4 linked regions of the Arabidopsis thaliana genome follow. The protein of the gene in region 4 interacts with the protein of the main gene of each other region in a biochemical or structural test. Each region holds a gene or a part of one and is shown on either strand. Other genes may lie near its edges. The genes, in order: AT2G46600, CAM9, AT1G75460 and PEN3.

Evidence for each region.
Region 1: the proteins of PEN3 (region 4) and AT2G46600 form a complex in vitro, tested with the Arabidopsis thaliana proteins (one study listed by BioGRID).
Region 2: the proteins of PEN3 (region 4) and CAM9 form a complex in vitro, tested with the Arabidopsis thaliana proteins (one study listed by BioGRID).
Region 3: the proteins of PEN3 (region 4) and AT1G75460 form a complex in vitro, tested with the Arabidopsis thaliana proteins (one study listed by BioGRID).

Annotation. Positions count from the first base shown.
Region 1 is NC_003071.7:19,134,426-19,137,136, reverse strand, and holds AT2G46600 (Calcium-binding EF-hand family protein), read right to left. Parts: upstream 1,119-2,711; 5' UTR 1,068-1,118; coding exon 660-1,067; 3' UTR 537-659; downstream 1-536. Other genes in the region: RS31a (RNA-binding (RRM/RBD/RNP motifs) family protein), read left to right, coding at 1-243, 338-368; DAG2 (Dof-type zinc finger DNA-binding family protein), read right to left, coding at 2,232-2,711. UniProt on the Arabidopsis thaliana protein: Calcium-binding regulatory protein that interacts with kinesin motor protein KCBP in a calcium-dependent manner. Inhibits KCBP microtubule binding activity and microtubule-stimulated ATPase activity.
Region 2 is NC_003074.8:19,267,434-19,271,691, reverse strand, and holds CAM9 (calmodulin 9), read left to right. Parts: upstream 1-2,033; 5' UTR 2,034-2,377; coding exon 2,378-2,453; intron 2,454-2,546; coding exon 2,547-2,707; intron 2,708-2,797; coding exon 2,798-2,875; intron 2,876-3,373; coding exon 3,374-3,514; 3' UTR 3,515-3,741; downstream 3,742-4,258. Other genes in the region: AT3G51930 (Transducin/WD40 repeat-like superfamily protein), read right to left, coding at 1-20. UniProt on the Arabidopsis thaliana protein: Potential calcium sensor.
Region 3 is NC_003070.9:28,325,988-28,330,304, reverse strand, and holds AT1G75460 (ATP-dependent protease La (LON) domain protein), read right to left. Parts: upstream 2,608-4,317; 5' UTR 2,320-2,607; coding exon 1,483-2,319; 3' UTR 541-1,482; downstream 1-540. Other genes in the region: PUP15 (purine permease), read right to left, coding at 1-128, 212-251.
Region 4 is NC_003070.9:22,032,419-22,040,433, reverse strand, and holds PEN3 (ABC-2 and Plant PDR ABC-type transporter family protein), read right to left. Parts: upstream 6,012-8,015; 5' UTR 5,774-6,011; coding exon 4,936-5,773; intron 4,854-4,935; coding exon 4,723-4,853; intron 4,447-4,722; coding exon 3,184-4,446; intron 3,098-3,183; coding exon 2,941-3,097; intron 2,862-2,940; coding exon 2,757-2,861; intron 2,678-2,756; coding exon 2,532-2,677; intron 2,448-2,531; coding exon 1,606-2,447; intron 1,518-1,605; coding exon 590-1,517; 3' UTR 308-589; downstream 1-307. Other genes in the region: AT1G59865 (uncharacterized protein), read left to right, coding at 7,137-7,434, 7,795-7,900, 7,988-8,015. UniProt on the Arabidopsis thaliana protein: Together with ABCG37, regulates auxin homeostasis and responses by playing a dual role in coumarin (e.g. esculin) and in the auxin precursor indole 3-butyric acid (IBA) efflux transport, thus influencing cotyledons, roots and root hairs development.

The sequences.
Region 1 (2,711 bases), on a different chromosome or scaffold from region 4:
TGTTGAGTATGCCTTGAGGGAGGCTGGTGAAAGAGAAGATAGATATGCTGGCAGTCGAAGAAGGAGATCTCCTAGCCCAGTGTATCGGAGGCGTCCTAGTCCTGATTATACCCGTCGTCGCAGTCCTGAATATGACAGGTACAAGGGTCCTGCTCCTTATGAAAGACGTAAGAGTCCAGATTATGGGCGTCGCAGTTCAGACTATGGTAGAGCAAGAGCTAGGAGTCCGGGCTATGACAGAAGGTAACAGTACTTGGCTTCTGAATGGTCAATATCCTTATATATAGTGTTATGTGCTACTCTAATTGTCTGATTTTTCTTTTCTATTTTTTAACAGCCGGTCCCCGATTCAAAGAGCAAGAGGTTGAAGATGTTGTTGGGCGATGGATTTTTAGAATGTATGGGCATGGTACAAAAACAAGTTCTTAGTACTGAGTCTTTACCGCTTATGACTTGAACCGTATGTGCTTTGCACTCTATGTGGTGTAGAAAGTATTAGTAGCTTATAATGGCAATGATCTCTTTTGGAATTGGAATAGTTTCAAGGCAATCCATTCAGTTTTTCAGGATCAAGAAATCATTACTTCATTTTATATTCAGAAACATTTATAGGTTTTGTAGAAGTAAAAAGAGAATACACAAGAAAGGAGGACGATCATTCAAGGCATAGAAGAGAGATTGTGATTACATAGTTCTTGGGTGAGTGCTTTCTCCAACCAAGTTTCGGCGTCTTCCATCATCTCAGGGCTTAACCGAACCATGAGAACGCAGAATTCGGTTTGGTTAAGAGCACCATCTCCATCGAGGTCTCCTTCTCTAACCATTCCTTGAGCATCTTCCTTGCTCATACCTTCAATTCCAAGTATCCCTGAGTTTCGTCTTAGAGACTCAGCTGTGATGAGATGTCTCTCTGGATCCGCAAGCAAACTGAAACCTTTGCATAACTCTGATACAAACTCTTCAACATCCATCTTCTCCGCCATAACTGGTAACATATCTTCGTATTTGGTCTCCATCTTCGTGGTACTAGTAGTTTCTAGTAACATAGATTTCTCGGTTGGTTCCATTAGAGGAAGACAATGGAAGAGAGAGAAGAGATTTTGGTGAACTCTTTTGATTAGTTCCAAAGGGATATATAAGTGAGTGGCGTATCTGTACCGATGTGTTTGTCACGTTCGTGTGGCCTAAAACTCTCTCTTGAATCGCAGCCGTTGGATTCTGAAAGTTGAAATAATGAACGGCTGATATTCATTCCAAGATAAAATGCGATTTCGTGAGTAGGGAGGGAAGCAGCTGATTATTAGGTGGTTTCGTGGAAAGTTCGAATGGGCCGTGAATACGACGCATTCCCACTCCCATATATTGTTATCAAAAGAAAGACAAGACAATGGTAAGTTTCGGAGAAGTTTCGTTTCTTGATTTCTTCCGTCGTGTCTTTCAATTATTTACTTCAATGGAATTGGATTCTCTTACAATAATAACGACATGTCGACATATAATAAAATATCTCTTTCTCCGTCCAAGCCTTAACTGATTTGATGTAACGGTAATTTCTCGTCTGAATTTGAGATGTGACTATTATGAAAAAATATGAACTAAGTAGTTGTTAACTGGATATAAAATTGCTAAGAGAAAGGTAAAATGATCATTGTGGCTTTTTGAACCAACGACCGAGGACATGTTAGAAGCCTACATAACCATCTTAGCAATGGCCAATGGTTACGTAGTTACTTTAGCTGCCTTATTGATGGCCCGGGCTTATTGATTTTTCCAAGTGATCGATCTAGAGAGTATATCACACTAACTTCTATATCGATAATAGATATGATCATATGAATAATCCTTTTATGAAAACACTTATACAGATAGAAGAAGCGATGAATACATAGTTACATAGTGCATACCATATACCATATATGCAACACTCGAGAGATTCGTATTCACATATTCTTCTACCCATACATAACGCCGTGATTTATATACTAATTAATCAACAAACCAAAATGAAAAACCAACCCAAATTATCATCAAACCAAACTACAAAACATTTAGAAAATAAATATTGATTTTAACAAAAAAAAAAAAAAAAAAAAAAGGAAAGGAAGAATAAAAAGACTATGTTGTGTTAGCTAAGTTCTGACAACTTTAACTAAAGTAACCCATGTGAGGCAAGAGATCATAAAAAGAGAATTAGAAAGCTAATTTCATAATCTCCTTTTGATCATTTTGCTTCACCATGAAGATCCTCCTCCTGTAGTACTGAACATCCCACTCCAATATCCATTATTAGGGCTTGAGTTATTATTATTATTATTATTTCCATGACTCTTCTGTTGTTGATTATCATCATGATCAACTTCTTGTGTTATGCTTGATGAAAGCTCCTTCATTTGATCCCCAAATGGAAACAAAACTCTACCTTGTTGGTGATGATCACTATGAAGAGCTTCAGACCTATTGTTGCTATTGTGTCCAAGCCCTTGATGATCGGTAGAGAAGGAGAGATTACTTGGCTTGTAATCCACCATTGTTGGAAACCCTGAAGAAGTGTAAAGCACAGTGTTTGAATCCATCATTGAACCGGAAGGCATGAACGATGAGTTAATCCCTGATCTTGAAGAAACATTAACTCCGGTTCTTAAAAGTTCAAGAGCTGAAACAGGAGACGACGAGGAACCATAGACAGAAGAAGATGATGAAGGCTGCTGCTG
Region 2 (4,258 bases), on a different chromosome or scaffold from region 4:
TCTTGGATTGATCTCACCATCGTATCAAGAGATTCAAGATTTCGTTTCTATTTTGGAACAGAGAAACCAACAAAATTGGAGCGTTTGAGGAAATGTTAAAAAGAGTATTTATTTTTAAAAAGGAGGAGAAGGTGCAACGGCTACATTGACAGGTGGCGTAGCCTCCTTTTTTTGCCTTTTGCTTATCATTTGCGCATTTTCATTAATTCGTGATATATGGCTCATGGAATCTTATAATATATGAAACCACTTCAGGAGCCTTAAATTTAATGTGTGCATATCATAGTAACGGATTGATCATTGTTCTCTTGTTTGACCAGTGATGTTAATTGGACCATATGTGGATACTGTAACGTTAAGGATTATGAAAATCAAGATATAGATATATGTATTTTTCAAGTATACGATATACCAAATTAGTTACGACAAAATGCGAATGAGTTGGTAGTAATGAGTAAACCTCAAAATACTGTTTTTTTTTTGTCAACAAACTTATGTTATTATACTTGGATGACTTAAATAAGCTAAACCGAAAAACATTGTTTAACCTCAAAATACTTATTTAATTAGTTGGTAGCATCGTTACATATTATAATTACGACTACGAGTTAGATTCTCAAATAATATTCCCAAATGGATATATTTACATCGATTGATGCATGCTTATTTGTAGTGATCGTCCCTTATGTATATTATGTTTTTATTTTATTTTTTGAACATAGTATAATATTGGTGGGAGAAGACAAAAATAAGGGAGCTCTGCCATCTAATACGGGAATCAAGATATCTGTTTTACATCAAACAAAGACTAGTGTGATGAAATGAAAGTTAAGTTAACAACAATAAAAAACAAAATTAGCTGAAAATGTAATCAAATGAGAGATCCGAATCCGATCTCCGCTAAGTAAAGCGTAGTGGGAGCGTAAATTCGCGTGAGTCTGATTCTGAATCGTATCATACATACCAAATCAAACATTAACGTTTATGATCTTACTTACCCATATCTTATTTCTTAATTTGTTTGGTTGTTTGTAAATGAGAAATACACTATGATAAGAGAAGAAGATCTAAATGAGGCATAGATCTCTAGATACCAAAACAGATAACGCCACCAACTAACATCCAATTAAGGATATATAACACGGCATCTCCCTCTTTAGTAAGCTTACGACCAAAGTAGTGTGACTAGTGCGGAACATTTTTGCAGTTAATACTACTTAGCCTCAATTCTTAATTATGACCGTATGGGACAGGGTAGGTAGGCACAAAGCGGATATTGTTTTTAATATATTTGCATCGAATTTGGTTTGTTGGATCGATAATCTTTTAATATGTATCCGCTTTTGAACTAGTCTATTCTCCGATTGTAGAATGAAACATCTATCCGAAATTCTAATTTGTAGTATTAGTGATTTGTTTTGTTTTTAACAGTATTTTAATATTTGTTTAAATTTGTAAACTTATGGTTATCCAGACTTTTTGAATCATTCAAAAGTGGAAAACAGATCGAATGGAAGTATAGAACACTACAATATATTTTCATATTTTTCTTAGCCGTAAGCCACTAATATTGGATGGACATAAACATAAGAGACCCCACAATATTTATCAGATTAAGCCTTTATTCACATTACAATGTTTCGTTCTCAACTTCTCATCATAACGTGAATAAAAGTAGGAGTTAGAATTAGAACACAACATCTCTAACAAATCTCTTATCTGCATTGCTTTGGAGAGACATGTTTGTACAAGAAGAAAAATGTTTATGGTCAGTCCGTTTTTTTCATATTGATTACCTTTTAAATCCCATTTGGTATTAAAAAAAACCCACTTCTAAGATATGTTTCGCTTTTTATGGTAACAAGACATATAACTTTTCAAAGTTACTGAATGGAATTCTTGACAGAAGTTGTTAGGACACTAAATAATGGAAAATCAAAATCAAGGGTTACATTAGAGACACGCGTACATCAATTATTTCTTAAAATGCAACTTGGTGTACGACTTTTAATTCTTGAGTCCTCAAACCCGAGCATTACTCCACCCTTTCTTTTCGCAATAATCAAGATCCTAATTTAATTCCCTATAAGTATTTTTTCTAATAACTATGAAAATAAAGAAAAATAAGCGTTGAAGTCATAAGTTTGAACAAAGACGCGTGACCTGGAATCGTGCTCAAGAAAAAATATCACAACTAATGAAAACGCAAGGTCATGAGTATTGACCTTGACCGGGCAAGAGCCTAGAGCCAAGAGGTGATGTGTACTTAAATGTGATAGATGCTCCCTTCTTCTTCTCTCATCACTAACAAATTAAGAGAAGCTGATCATCAGATTGAATCAAAGACAGACTTTGACTTTTCTTTGTGATCGAAGATATGGCGGATGCTTTCACAGATGAACAGATCCAAGAGTTTTACGAAGCCTTCTGTCTCATAGACAAAGATTCCGATGGTCTGCTTTGTTCTCTCTCTTTCTTGTTCGATTTGATACACAAATTTATTCAGAATCGATCGGTTTGATGATGTTATGATGCATGTGAAACAGGGTTCATCACGAAGGAGAAGCTAACGAAAGTGATGAAGTCGATGGGGAAGAATCCAAAGGCGGAACAACTGCAACAGATGATGAGCGATGTTGACATCTTTGGCAACGGTGGCATCACTTTTGATGATTTCTTGTATATTATGGCTCAAAACACTTCTCAGGTAAAATATATATACACACTTAAAACCGTTTAGTTATAGTAAAGATTGATAATTGTAGAGAAAAGTTAATAATGAAAAAATTGGTTGTAGGAATCAGCATCGGATGAGTTAATTGAGGTATTCAGAGTGTTCGACAGAGACGGAGATGGTCTCATATCTCAACTTGAGGTAAATAAATTGTCTAACTATTTACCAAATAGTACATTGTCCTGACATGGAAACAATAAAAAACGAGTTACATACATATATAATAAGATTAAGTGATCATGTAGATGGATATAACGAAAGAAGAGAAATTACTAAATGTTACTTTTTTGAAGACCTTGTTATTATTATCTTTATAATCTACTATCATTCACTCATTACAACACAAATTTTTGTCGCCATAAGAAACTCCATTGCTCATATGGTCTTGTTTTTTTTTTCTCAAACCGACACGGCGACAACACAACAATCGAGAGACACATAGTCACATACTACTTGAAAAATACTTCGTTATCTGAATTAAAAAGATTTATATTCAAAAATAATGCAAAAAAGATTGGTCATTTAACTTGGTCAAATGGTTATTAGCTTACTTTTATAATATAAGCCATTCTCTTAACTCTTAAGTCTTAACTATAGTTTATTTAGCCATTTCTCCTAATTTCTATAAACGAAATGCAGTTGGGAGAAGGAATGAAGGACATGGGGATGAAGATAACAGCAGAAGAAGCGGAGCATATGGTCCGAGAAGCCGACCTTGATGGCGATGGTTTTCTTTCTTTCCACGAATTCTCTAAAATGATGATTGCTGCCTCTTATTAGCATTTTGTGAAATGCCATGATTTAAGAGTTTGTTTTTGCACAATTACAACTATATTTCAATATGTTACTATATTTTCCCAACATATAATTAAAGTGTGTGTTACTGAATCAATGATTTTTTTCGGTCGATAAAAAACTATAATATTTTTCCTATCCAAAATTCGAACCAAACCAAACCAAACCAAAAGTATTGTTCTGTTTTAAACATATGTTTTTTAAACCGGAAAATCCAAACCGAACTAAACCGAGAGTAATTATCTGACTCGGTCACTCGACGGTAGCGTGCCACAATTGAACTGGTGGTCGATCCTTAACTTCCATCTTCAATCCTTGCAAAACCCTAATGAAGAAGCAGTCTGAAGAACCAAAAATCAGTGGTTTTTTAATAAGTAAATGGTGAGAAAATCTGTTGAACTGTCGAATTTGTTTATAACCTATCAGCTTTGCTATAAATTGTTTGTTCCAAATTCCAATTCAAGTCCCCATCATTGAAGGTTAAGTAGCTTTGCTTTTTTGTCTGCCGACGGTTGTTGTAGAAATTTATGATGTTCTTGATGCTTGTCACTTTCACTCATATTGAGATCTGTCTCTCGATTCATGTTTCTTCATCACAGTGGACACAAAATGACCTAGAAGCTGAGATAGTATATTTACATTGAGTAGAGCAATTTAGTACTTGCAATATTCGTTTTAGTAGTGTCTAAAAAAGATAAGGCTTTGGTTGAACTCCATTCTAAAACCCTT
Region 3 (4,317 bases), 6.3 Mb from region 4:
TGTTACGGCCAAGATGGTGCATATGATGATGGTAACCCACTGGTTACGTCTCTGATTCGAGTCACTTGTTAGGCTGATCGGTGTGGTTAGGCGGTGCTCGATATCCAGGGCTATTTGCACAAAGTGTTCTGTAAAGGAAAACAATATTATGATTGGCATACCAATATATATATGTGACAAGGGAATATAATGAGACAGAACATAGGCCTACCTTGTGGATTTGACGACTGCATTGGTTGATTATGTCCCATCATATTTCTTGAGTTCTGGGAATCTAGGAAACTGGCGTTTGTGTGTTTATAGCCAAACGCAATGGGTCTGAGGGTGGACTTTGACGGAGTAAGGGTTTTGCCTAGTTGAGCAAATGGGTTTTAGTTACTTATATGCAGACATATTCCTAGAAGTAAAAGACCAAGTACAGATTAAATGACTTTGTCATTTGACACTAGATAATAAAGAAAAAGACAAGCATCATACTGCTTTTGCTTGTTCTATTTTTTTTTATAGAAGTAGTCAACTTCCAAAGTTTTGGAATTCCAGGAAGGCAAGCAATTTTTTTATGGCAAAGGAAACAACTCGTGTACATAAGTTTTGAATGCCAAATTATATTCACCAAAAAACCTTTGTTAATTACACAAGATGCTTTGAAGAAAAACAGAACATGGAGCCGTAAAAACAGAGTTTGTAACAGAAATCATCTTCTTGTCGCGAACACTTGTTAATTCTTATAGCAGAAAAGTTCGAAAATATATGTTTGGTGTAGCAATTTGAATCGATAGAGACTATCTTGACTCGAAACACCACCAGAGTCACTCTGCTAAACCCTAAACCTCGCAGTGAACCATGGACGAGGCTCCATGATCTCATAATTAGACGACACTCGATGGCATAGACATAACGCGGTTATTCATACCAGAACCAGATGATCAAACTAGCGCCGAATGACTCGACAGACACACAGAGGCAGGCAATCCACAGCCCAAGCAGTTTATTTGGTAAGTTTCCACTTGGTTCTAGAGGTCGAAAACGCTCACTAGAATCTACACCAAAGATAATTAAACCAGTACCATAGTTGCAACGAAACTGATACAAGTACCATAAGTCTATAGTATGTAGATAAAGCAACCAACACTACTTAGTCTCTATATGAGTCGTAGCAGTTTTGACATTCCCTGGTTTAGTGAACATCTCTCTCTATTAGGAATTGTTGACATAGCAGATTCTCTAGGTTTCCACTTTGGAAGCTAACTCAAGTAAACCACAACATTTTTGTGATCAATTCAGCTATAAATCCTATAAAAACCTTCAAAACATATACTAATACCACCAAAATCACCGTATTACAAAGGCAATTACACTTTCACAACTTTGCAGGTTTTCATAAGTTTCGTATATTCAATTACTGACAAAGCTCAATATACCAAACGCTTAGAGAGAGAAGAGGTTCAGAAATTCTATGTACCAGTAAAAGTAGAATACACACTAAGATGATGAAGGAAACACATCTTTAACAGCAGAAGCTGCAGTCAAATAATTAAGTGTATTCCTCAAAGTCTCTCTTTCTCTTTTTAACCTAGCTGCCGTATCTTCAAGCTCAAGCAACGCTTGCTGCTCTCTAGGAGCTCCTTCAAACGTACTTCCGACGAAGAACGAAAACGGCGTCGGAAACTGATTCCTCCTCAGATCTTGAACTTCTTTCTCAGCCTTACCATTCAATCTATTCGATAACCTAATCACTTCTTTCATTAGAACTTCGACTTCATTAGCTAACGAATCAAGATTTTCTTCACCGGAAGGACGATCTTCAAGCCACGTGACTTCTCCGACAAGGTAGGGTTTCGTACGAACGACATTCGTGACTCGGAATCGTTCTTGACCTTTGCAGACTAGAAAGAATCGATCATCGACGAGACGCTCGTGTTTCACGACTTCTCCTACACATCCTACTTCTGCGGCGGAGCCAGAGACGGAATCGGAGTAAACTACGCCGAATCGTAGATCAGATTGGAGGAGCGTGTGCATCATGATACGGTAACGGAATTCGAAGATCTGAAGAGGAAGGATTGCTCCGGGGAAGAGAACGAGTGGGAGTGGAAACAGAGGAAGCTCGACGATATCATCGGATTTTGGAGATTTCGCGTTGTGATGCTTCTCGGAGAATGAAGAAGATGAACATCGGAAGGAACTGTTGAGTTTACAACGCCGGCGATTATCAACCGTCGGTGATAAAGATCTAAGGGAGTGAAACGGTGGTTTGGATTTGAAGGAAGGAGATAATGAAGTTGAAGAAGGTGAAGAGACTACGTGTGGAAGCGCCATTACAGGGGAAGAGACGAAGTAATCAGAGAATACAAAAAAGAGGGTTTATTACATTATTTGAATATTTCTTTTGCCTTTTGGTGGGTTTAAAGAAAAAAAAATTAAGGATATGATAATTGACATGTCATTATAACAGATATTTGAGTGATTTGTATTTTTGTTGTGTGGATAATAAACGAGAGGAGAGGAAGAAGAAGTGGATGTGATTCTGAATATCCCACGAGTGAGAGACTTTATATTATCCATCTACAAAATTCTTGTAATGCCACGTGCTCTTTAGATTAGGGATTACTGACTAAGAAGGAATTAGTGACGCATTTTCTAGATGAGAATTCTAGAGAGAATAAAAATGTGTAGAAGTTAGTTGGAAGAGCATTTGAATGGTGATAGGTGTGGGTTGATTTATGACATTTTCCCCTAACTTATTTCTCCAATCTCCAACCAATTATGTACCAAAAAATCATCATTAAACCGGTTAGTATAAGCTTTGTGCTTGTGGTAACTTCATTTCAGGGTTGTGTAATTGTTGATTTGTCAATTTTTTTGGTCAACTCAAATATTTTCTTGGTTTAAGAGATGCAGTAGAATAAGGGCCCATAAAGAAGAGTCCAACTCATCTACCCAACTAATTTTATTCTTGTGATAAGGGAAAAGGGAAACTAATTTTTTGTTTACACATAAAGATTTAAACGAATAAGGCCCACAAATAAGCCCATTGTGAAAAATGGCCCATTTTATATGAATAAGGGTTTGTACTTTGTATCATAAAAAATTTGAACCTTAATTTGCTGAAACAAACTTACAAGATCTCCACACTTGGAGCCAAATGAGCGCGAGTTCGTTTCATAAGCTAAGAGTAGATCTGAAAAAGACATTACAAAGACAAAAAGAAAAACAATATATTTTCACAAATTAAATTGAAAGGGAAATAAAAATGAGAACCACTAATCAAATATCAACGGGAGATTAGGAGGCCAATGATAGAAGTGTAGTAGGATAAAGACGAGTCCAAGGCACGTGGGCTTTGGAATCGTTTGTCTATGTTGCGACAAAACCATTCTTTTTTTTGCTAAGAACAAAACAAAATCATTCTTATGCAAATCCAATTGACATTAATTTACAGAAACAAAACCAATAATCGCTTGCGTAGAACGCAACAGTAGTTTCATCTCAATGTATTGGCCGATAAATTTCAAAATAATATGTTTGTTTAGAGTTTGGAACCAACCATATGCCATGTTTTTGTCGTCCCATATATATGTTTTAGTTTTTAATATTAGTTTGACGATCAGACTTTTTTGTATAAAATTAGTCTTGGTACATATATTAGGTGTTTACATATTTATTTGTTTGGCTGGATATAAGAAACAAATATTTAGATGACAGAAAAAATGTGATGGGTATCCCACAAAAAAGCACCATAATAAAAGTTCACATTACACTCATTATTTTTCAAAGACTTTCGAGATTTCCGGAGAATGATTGGCCAAAATGTGATGTCGATTGAGGCTTTAGGTTTTAGCTTTGGTCCAAAACTTTGAATTTATCAATTGGGTACATTCCAAAGTCTCAGTTCTCGTCGACAATGAAAAGGGAAAACCAAAAAGAACAAAATAATAATAGTATTTATGTTTTCTTAGAAAAGATTGCTATAAAATAGAATAACACAATGTCCCTTCACGATGATTGATGACAGTAACACGATCAAAGCTTCAGAGAATCTTATATAGTTTTCACATTCATAAAACAAAAGTAACAAACAAATTTATTCTTACAACTATACTATTCTTACAGATGATTCTATATATTATTGACCAAATTAAGAATTCTTGGTTCAAACTAAGTATTTAAATATATTATGCTCAAGAGTTGAAGTAGAAGTTTTCCAATTCATTGAAAATTCTCTAGGTTTTAAATTTTATTATTTGTTTTTTTTCTTTCAAAAACATGCATATGCGGATTTAAATTTGGATGGTGACACAAAGCCGGCACTAACAC
Region 4 (8,015 bases):
GTATTGGCCTAAACATTTGGGTATGATTAAATGGAAATTTGATTGGGAGGACTTTTGGTAGGATTTAAGGAAATTTTAGGTGATTTAATCCAAAATTCAAAATCGTTTTGTCGTTGTAAGATAGACTTTTCTATATTTAGAAAAACTGATTTATTGAGATTTCTCATTAAACTTTATGATATTGGTGTTGTGTTGTGATAATTTTTACAGAACCATGTTATACAATTATCAAGATTTAATCATGAAGAACATTAACTTATCCTCCATTGATTTTGTCTTCTTTGATAATGGATATGATCACACTTTTTTTCTGTCTTCTTCCTCTTATTGGAAGTATCGTAAAATAAAAAGTCTCAAGAAACAAACAAAAATGGACTTTGAGGGATTTGTGGATATAAACACAAAAAAAAGTGGAATTATATTACATGATTCCGATTCGTCATCATCTATAAGACAATAAATAAAAATATTCAAAAAAATTTCGTTATGACACTACAATACATATTTAGAACATACAAAGCTTATAGTGCATATAAACAACACAGAGGATACAAAAAAAGAAAGAGACTTTGTTGTTTGAGAGATGGTTTTATCTGGTCTGGAAGTTGAGAGTTCTGATGCAGAAGGCGAAGATGAAGGCGAAGAAGACGGTGAAAGCGATGAGTACAGCCGCCACTGGTCCCATAAAGTCAGATTGGAAACCATAATGGTCCTCAATGTATTGCTTGACGGTTAAGTCAGGAGCACCACCAAGGACTTGGATACGTGTCTCCACATCACCGTACTGCGACACTATCAATCCATACACGGTCCATGCAACAGGGCAGATCCAGTAGTACCAAATCCACCATTTTGGGATTTTGGGTCTTGGAATGAAGAAACCAGAGAAGAGGTTGAAAATACCGTAAAACGCTGAGGCGAAAATCGAAGCGACTTGTTGGTTTGGTGTGAGGGAAACAGTCATCATGCCGTAGTAAGTCCAGTAGAGGAATGAGAAGTAGCTAACGAAGACGAACCAGAAGAACTTTTCGGCTTTCCATTCGAAACCAACCATGGCGTAGACGATGAGTGAGTAGTAAACGGTTTGAATAAGGACATAGGGAAGCTCACAAGTGACTTGAGAGATGGCATATGGCATGGCTGAGTACATTCCTGCTGCTCTTTCTCTGTAGAACACTGTTCTTTCCACTGCAACCATCGGTTGTACTGTTGAACAGTTGTTGATTCCCACGAAGATAATCGCGGCATACAATGCTCCTATCACCATTGTTAGATCCCCTGCGTTCGACCTGTTACCTCCGATTTGCCAGAAGACTGTACCAATCAAGAGAGATGTTGCCAATGTGAAGATGAAACGGACAAGATTGTAGTCTGGAGATCTCCAATACGTCCACCATTGTTTCCATAAGCATGATTTGAACTGTCCCCATGTGTTTTGTGAGAATTGTGTAGCAAAGTAAAGATCTGATGCTCCTGCTGGTGGTACACTTAGTTCTTTTACCAACGCTTTGTTTCGCCTGCATTTTGTTATGTATTCATTAGTACTATTACTTAAACAATCAATCAGATGCAATGAGCCATGGAAAAGAAGGAACTTAAACTTACTGGTGCAATGCTGATTGATTGTATAACTCAGCAAAGTCAACACTAAGCTTTAGCTCAGCGGCGAGTGAGCTAGCTTCGAGCATCCAAGTGGCCGGGTTATACTTTTCTGGAATCTTGGACACTCCGGGGAAAGATTCAAAGTACTCAACCACCTTGTGAGAGTTTTGACCCAATGGACCCGCGTAAATCACTTGTCCTCCTCTCTTCATCAGCATCAATTCATCAAATGCTTCAAAGATATCAATGCTAGGCTGATGAATGGTGCAGACCACGGTTCTTCCAGTGTCCACTGTGTTCCTTACCGCCCTCATCACAATAGCCGCTGCTCTAGCGTCTAGCCCTGAAGTTGGCTCATCCATAAAGATGATGGAAGGGTTGGCTACAAGCTCCACCGCGATTGTCAGTCTCTTTCTCTGCTCCGTGGAAAGCCCCGTGACACCCGGTAAACCAACAATGGAGTCCCTAAGACTGTCCAGCTCTACCAATTCCATCACTTGATCCACAAACATCATTTTTTCATCTTTGCCGACTTCTTTAGGAAGACGAAGGAAAGCAGAGAAAATCAGAGATTCTCTGACTGTTACTTGCGGGGAGTGAATATCGGTCTGCTCACAATATCCTGAGATTCTAGCAAATGTTTCTTGAACCTTTGGGAATCCTGATATTCTCACATCTCCTTCAATGTATCCACCTGTTTTCCTTCCGGCCAAAACGTCCATAAGCGTAGTCTTACCGGCACCACTCACTCCCATAAGCGCAGTCAAAACTCCTGGCCTAAATGCACCAGTCACACCTTTAAGCAGTTGGAGTCTTGTTTCTGTAACTCCTTGGTCTCTCATTTCCTATACCATCAAAAGATATCTATTTAGTTTAAGTAATTCATATTTAATTTAGTGTAAAGATTTTAAGTGAAGATAGTTACTTACCCCAGGCATGTCAACAAAGTATTTGACGTCGTCAAAGGACATAGCTAAAGGAGTGAAAGGAAGAACCATTCCTTTCTTATTGCCTGCACCACCTGATGCTTCAGCCGCAGAGTCCCTACTCATTCTCCCCATTGCGACCTCTCCTCCTGATAGCAGGGAGCAGAATGAGACAAGAGTACAAGAAAAGCAAAACATCTAAGCAGATTAAGAAATGTGTTTACTTACTTCTGTTCCCATCTGCAGTAGACAAAGATCTACGCATTGGATCTTTCCCCTGATCAGCGTCTTCATTTTCTTCTTCTGGAAGTAAACCTGCCTTCTTCCCAAGAGCTGTAGTTTCAAAGGTACATTATTAGTAGTCTATTGTTTTTAGATTTGGTAAAACGGGTGATACAACACGAGAACTTACGGTTGAGATAGGTAAGTGCCAAGGTGAATAGAATGTTGAAGAGGGCTGTGAAACAAAGCAAGGCTCCAACTGAAATCCAGTACCAGTTCTTTTGATGGTAGACATCCCAAGTATTAAGCACCATAGTTCCAAGCTTTATTGTGCTGTTAGAAGAAGCCTGTAATTTGAAAAAAATATGACTCAGAGGCGGCTTTACTATGATATTTGTTTGTAAAATGCAGAATAAAGAAGTAAGCCACTTACCATTTTGTTCATCCATCTGGGAGCAAACATTTCATTGACTACTAGACCGTTGAAAGCATAGGTGAGAGGAGATACCCAGTAAGCCCAACCCCACCAGTCAGGAATCTTGCCTTTCGGAAGAAGGAAGCCTCCGAGCAAGAACACAAGAAGTAGAGTGAGAGCACCACCAGTATTAGCAATCATCATGGTTCTGCACACAGAAGCAATCAACCTAAAGAGGGATGCAGCCATTTGTTGAATCAGAAACACCAGAAGAAACTGCTTGAAGAAGCGGCTGGCGTCAGGTGCAAAACCAATGGAGTAATAAGTCACCACCATCCAAGCCGTCGATTCTAATATTGAGCTTGGAATCCCAAGCAAGAAAGTGGGAAGTGAGAAGGTCCAGGATGGATAAAACAAGAGATCCCTCTGTTTGTAGAACACAGGGAGTCTTGAAACCATCATAGCCATCTCCGCAAACCCATTAAACATGTTGATGATCATTCCAAATAGCAATGCTCCTATGTAGAGATTAGCATCACCCTCGTTTCTTGTGTTCATTTCGGTTCTCAGGAAGAGTGTAGACGTGATTGCAGCAATGATGACGATCTGGACAGTCTTGAAAACATAGAAGAACGCGTTTCGCTGCATAAGCAGCCACTCTTTGTCCCAACAGCTCTTGAGAAGCTCCCTCTTTGAGACAGAGTACTTATCGAACACAAGAGCTGCTTTGTGGCCGCGAGACTTATCGAACGGTACTGCAAGTTCGTTAGACATCTTCGTCCCAACATGGAAACTCTTGTATCTACTGGCAAACTCTGAAACCGGAATGTAGTGATAAGGTCTGTTCGGGTTCACCCAGTACTGTTCTTGATCTTTCTTGGAAGTAACCTCTTGCAGGAAATCAGCTGTTCCTTTTCTCTCAGGACACTTGAACCCAAAGCTCTCAAAGAACTCAAGAATGTTGTCTCTCGGTCCTTGGTACACGATCTGACCTTCCGACACCAAGATGATATCATCGAATAAATCAAAAGTCTCAGGAGCAGGCTGGAGGAGAGACATGAGCACCGTGGCTTCATTGAGGTGAACGATTTGTTGCAGACACTTGACGATTTGGAAAGTAGTGGAACTGTCAAGACCAGTGGATATTTCGTCCATGAAGAGTGTCTTAGTAGGTCCAACAATCATCTCACCAGTTGTGACACGTTTCTTCTGACCTCCAGATATACCTCTCATCATGTCATCTCCAACTATTGTGTCTTTGCAAATGTCAAGCCCCAAAATCTGTTACACGGCCAAAGTTAGTATTATACAAAAAAAGACTCAAAACTTTATGAACATGAGAAAAGATTGTCTAGAACATTTTTAGAATATGAAAACTTATATCAATATTCTAAAATAATGAAACCAAACGGTTAATGAATAAATTCCGGTTCAGTTTCGGTTTATAAAAAACGATTTAGTTCGATTCGATTTTATGAGTTGCTTGCCTAGTAACAAACACTCTTCTTGAAACAAAAAGAACAAGATGAGCTAAGTTAAGGCGAGAGTTGGACTCACTTTGAGAGTATAATCAGTGACGAGACTGTTCTTAACACCTTGAGCAGCAGAAGCTTTCATGAAGAGATCAACATCGGCTTCCGGGAATATACCAGCGTCCTTTTCTCTCCTCGCAAGCTCATTCAACAGATCTACAACAACAAGAATCAAAACCATTCAACAAAACTGAATCTTGAAAAAAAGATATGATTAAAGATTGAATCTTTTACTTACCATAACGAGTACCAACACCTTGACACCTAGCAGAGAAGTCAAGAGTCTCCTTAACAGTCATGATACCAACATGAAGATCGTTCTGACTAATGTAAGCAGAGGTCTTTCTCGGAACAAACTCATCGAGTTGGTAACCATTGTAAGTAATATCACCACTGACTTGTAGAGATTTATCAAGTTTCCCAGCTAAAGCCAACAAAAGAGTGGTCTTACCAGAAGAAGGAGGACCCAACAAAAGTGTCATCCTTCCAGGTTTAATAACCCCAGAGATATCTTTAAGAATCGTAAGCTGAGCTTTCTTAGCAAATTGAATACCAATCATACCTAAAGCAGACTCTCCCATGTTCCTCACAACATTCAAAAGTGTAGGAAGAGATCTATTACCAGTGTAACAATCAGCTTTAATCGTCAAATGCTCGTACCTGACTTCAACAGTTGGAAGTTTGATACCAACTCTATCGATCCTGTTTCTTAGCTTAGTCAAGATCCTTTCATTATCTTGCTCAGCTACTTTGAAAACCATGTCAATAAACTTCTGACGATCTTCACCATCAAGCTTGGTTACATCAACCTCCTTGCTCATGAGCTGGTTACCGTAAACATCGTCTTCGACTACAGCGTTCATGAGAGTGGTTCGGAGACGACTGTAAGTTGGTAGCTTCTCAATGGCAGCCCATTTAAGAGCTTCTTCATCGTCGTTGACTGATTGTGTTCTTCTTGAACCAGATGAGAAGATATCTTCAATGTTCCTACTTGCTCTGCTTACACTTCGACTTATGCTTCTTCTCATACTAACACCACCTCCTCCTAAAGGAGGAAGATTTGGATTGTAATCCATCGTTCACCAAGAAAGCTTGTGACTTTGGCTCAAAGTTTATGTCTTTTGAACAAAGTTTGTGTTTTTGGATCAAAGTTTGAGACTTTGGATCTAATCCCGTGAGGATTTAGTTGGGTGATACAGAGAAGAGAGAGAGGAGGAAGATGATGAATGAAGAGAAGAGGGTGGGATTAGAAAATGGATAAATAGGGAGTGAGGAAGGAACATCAAGGCGGACTTTTCTTTATGTTGACTATTCATACTTTGTTGAAATAATCAAAAATAATAAAAAGTCGTGTTTTTTATGTGCAAGATGGGTTTTATTATTCAAATGTGACGGCTCTTTTACGTTGTTTTTTTATTTACAAAAGATATTTTTTGTGCTAATAATGCGACGGCTCTTTAACGTTTGTTATTTTATTGCAAAGATATTATGTAATAATTGAAGTGTTTGAACATTTCTTATTCAAAGTCAATAACGATGACCCCATTTAGTTATAGCTACTACTAGTGGAGATATCGTTAAATGAAAAGTCTTTCTTGTGTACTTTGTTTCTTTTCTACATTTTATTGGTGAGAAAAGAAAGGAAGACCGTCGTTGGGTTTTGAAGTCATTGTGTTGATGAAGTCACATTCACATTTCAATTCAACACATACGTGAAGGATGGTTTGTTTATAAGTCTTTGTGTTCTGGAAAGTGAGAAGTTGCGGAGGAAGAAGCCATTTAAATACCCGGAATAAGAAGTTTTAGTGACAACTCCTCAATGTTGTTATGATAAGAAGACTCCATTGACTTCCTCTTAAACTCTGCGTTTGGCTATTTTCTCAACTAATCTTTGATTAGTGCTCTGCATTTTGTGTATTAACCAATGTCTAATTCATTCCTTCAGCCAGCAAATTTCATTTTCCTGAGCTCTTCTCAGCTTCTTTAGTAATGCTCTATAGGTTGGTTTCTTTGTCAATTAAGCTCTCGGTCTTCTTCAGTCTGCAGTTTATACTCCAAGTTTTCATTTACCTTTGAGGACGACTCATCGATTTTTTCAAGAGAACAAACCTACATTGCTCTGAGTTTTCTAAAGCAATGTTCTTTGGCTTGACTTCGTTGACCAACAAGCTTCCTTTAAATTTCATGCTTCCAGTTTCTGCTTCTCTAACTCTTTCCTACAGATCCTCATTCTTCTCCTCAAGTTCCTTCAGTTTATTCTCATTTACCTTGCCAAGTTCCCGACTTTTCCGCGCAAATGAAGTTCTCGCTGTCTCTACACAGTCTTAGAATGGACAAACTCATTTTGGGTGTTTACTTATCTCAGTCTTCAAGAATTTTTCCTTACTTTTCACTTGTATATTTTGCAGCCAACTTATAACTTTTAATTTGGGCTCCACAATGTTCAAGCTATGGTTGACATATCAACAAGACCTTCTCCAATCCTTGCCTTGCTTTAAAAACGCTTCACTTGTATCCACCAAGCTTTCATATACCTTTGACAAGTTATCGAGTTTTTCAAGAGAAAAAACCTTCATTGCTCTGAGCTTTCTGTTTTCTAAAGCAACCTTCTTTGCCTCGACTTTCATGCTTCCAGTCTCCGCTTCTCCAACTCTTTCCTACAAATCCTCACTCTTCTCCTCAAGTTCCTTAAGTGTATTTTTCATACATGCTTCTTCTTCTTCTCATTTTCCTGAAGGTCAGACAAATTCACTTTGCCAAGTTCCCAATTTTCCACACAACTGAAGTTCTCGCTGTTCCCACATAGTCTTAGAATTGAAAAACTCATTTTGAGTGTGTACTTATCTCAGTCTTCAAGAATTTTTCCACAGTTTTCATTTGTATCTTTTGCAGCCAACTTATACCTTTTCATTTGGGCTCCACAATGTTCAAGCTATGGTTGACATATCAACAAGATCTTCTCCAATGCTTCCCTTGCTTTAAAAATACTTAACTTGCAAATCCAAAGTTAAGCTTTCCATAGCTTTGTTGCTTTTCTCTTATTTTCTTCTTCTTCTTACAGTTTTTTCCTGTCTGAGTTTGTCATTGGCTTCCTTAGTCGATTTTCAGCAGATCATCAAGAGCTCTAGCTTTATCTTTCTTAAGCATTGCTACTTCCATATTACCTCTCCTAAAACCCTCCTGAATCTGATTCAGTTGAGCAGGTACCTCAAAATTCCTTCACTGTTATTACACGTTCTGAAAAATGCCAAAAACAATATGATGATCAATCAATTAACTAAATTGGCCAGACTAGTTCACATTGGTGTTGGCCAAAGC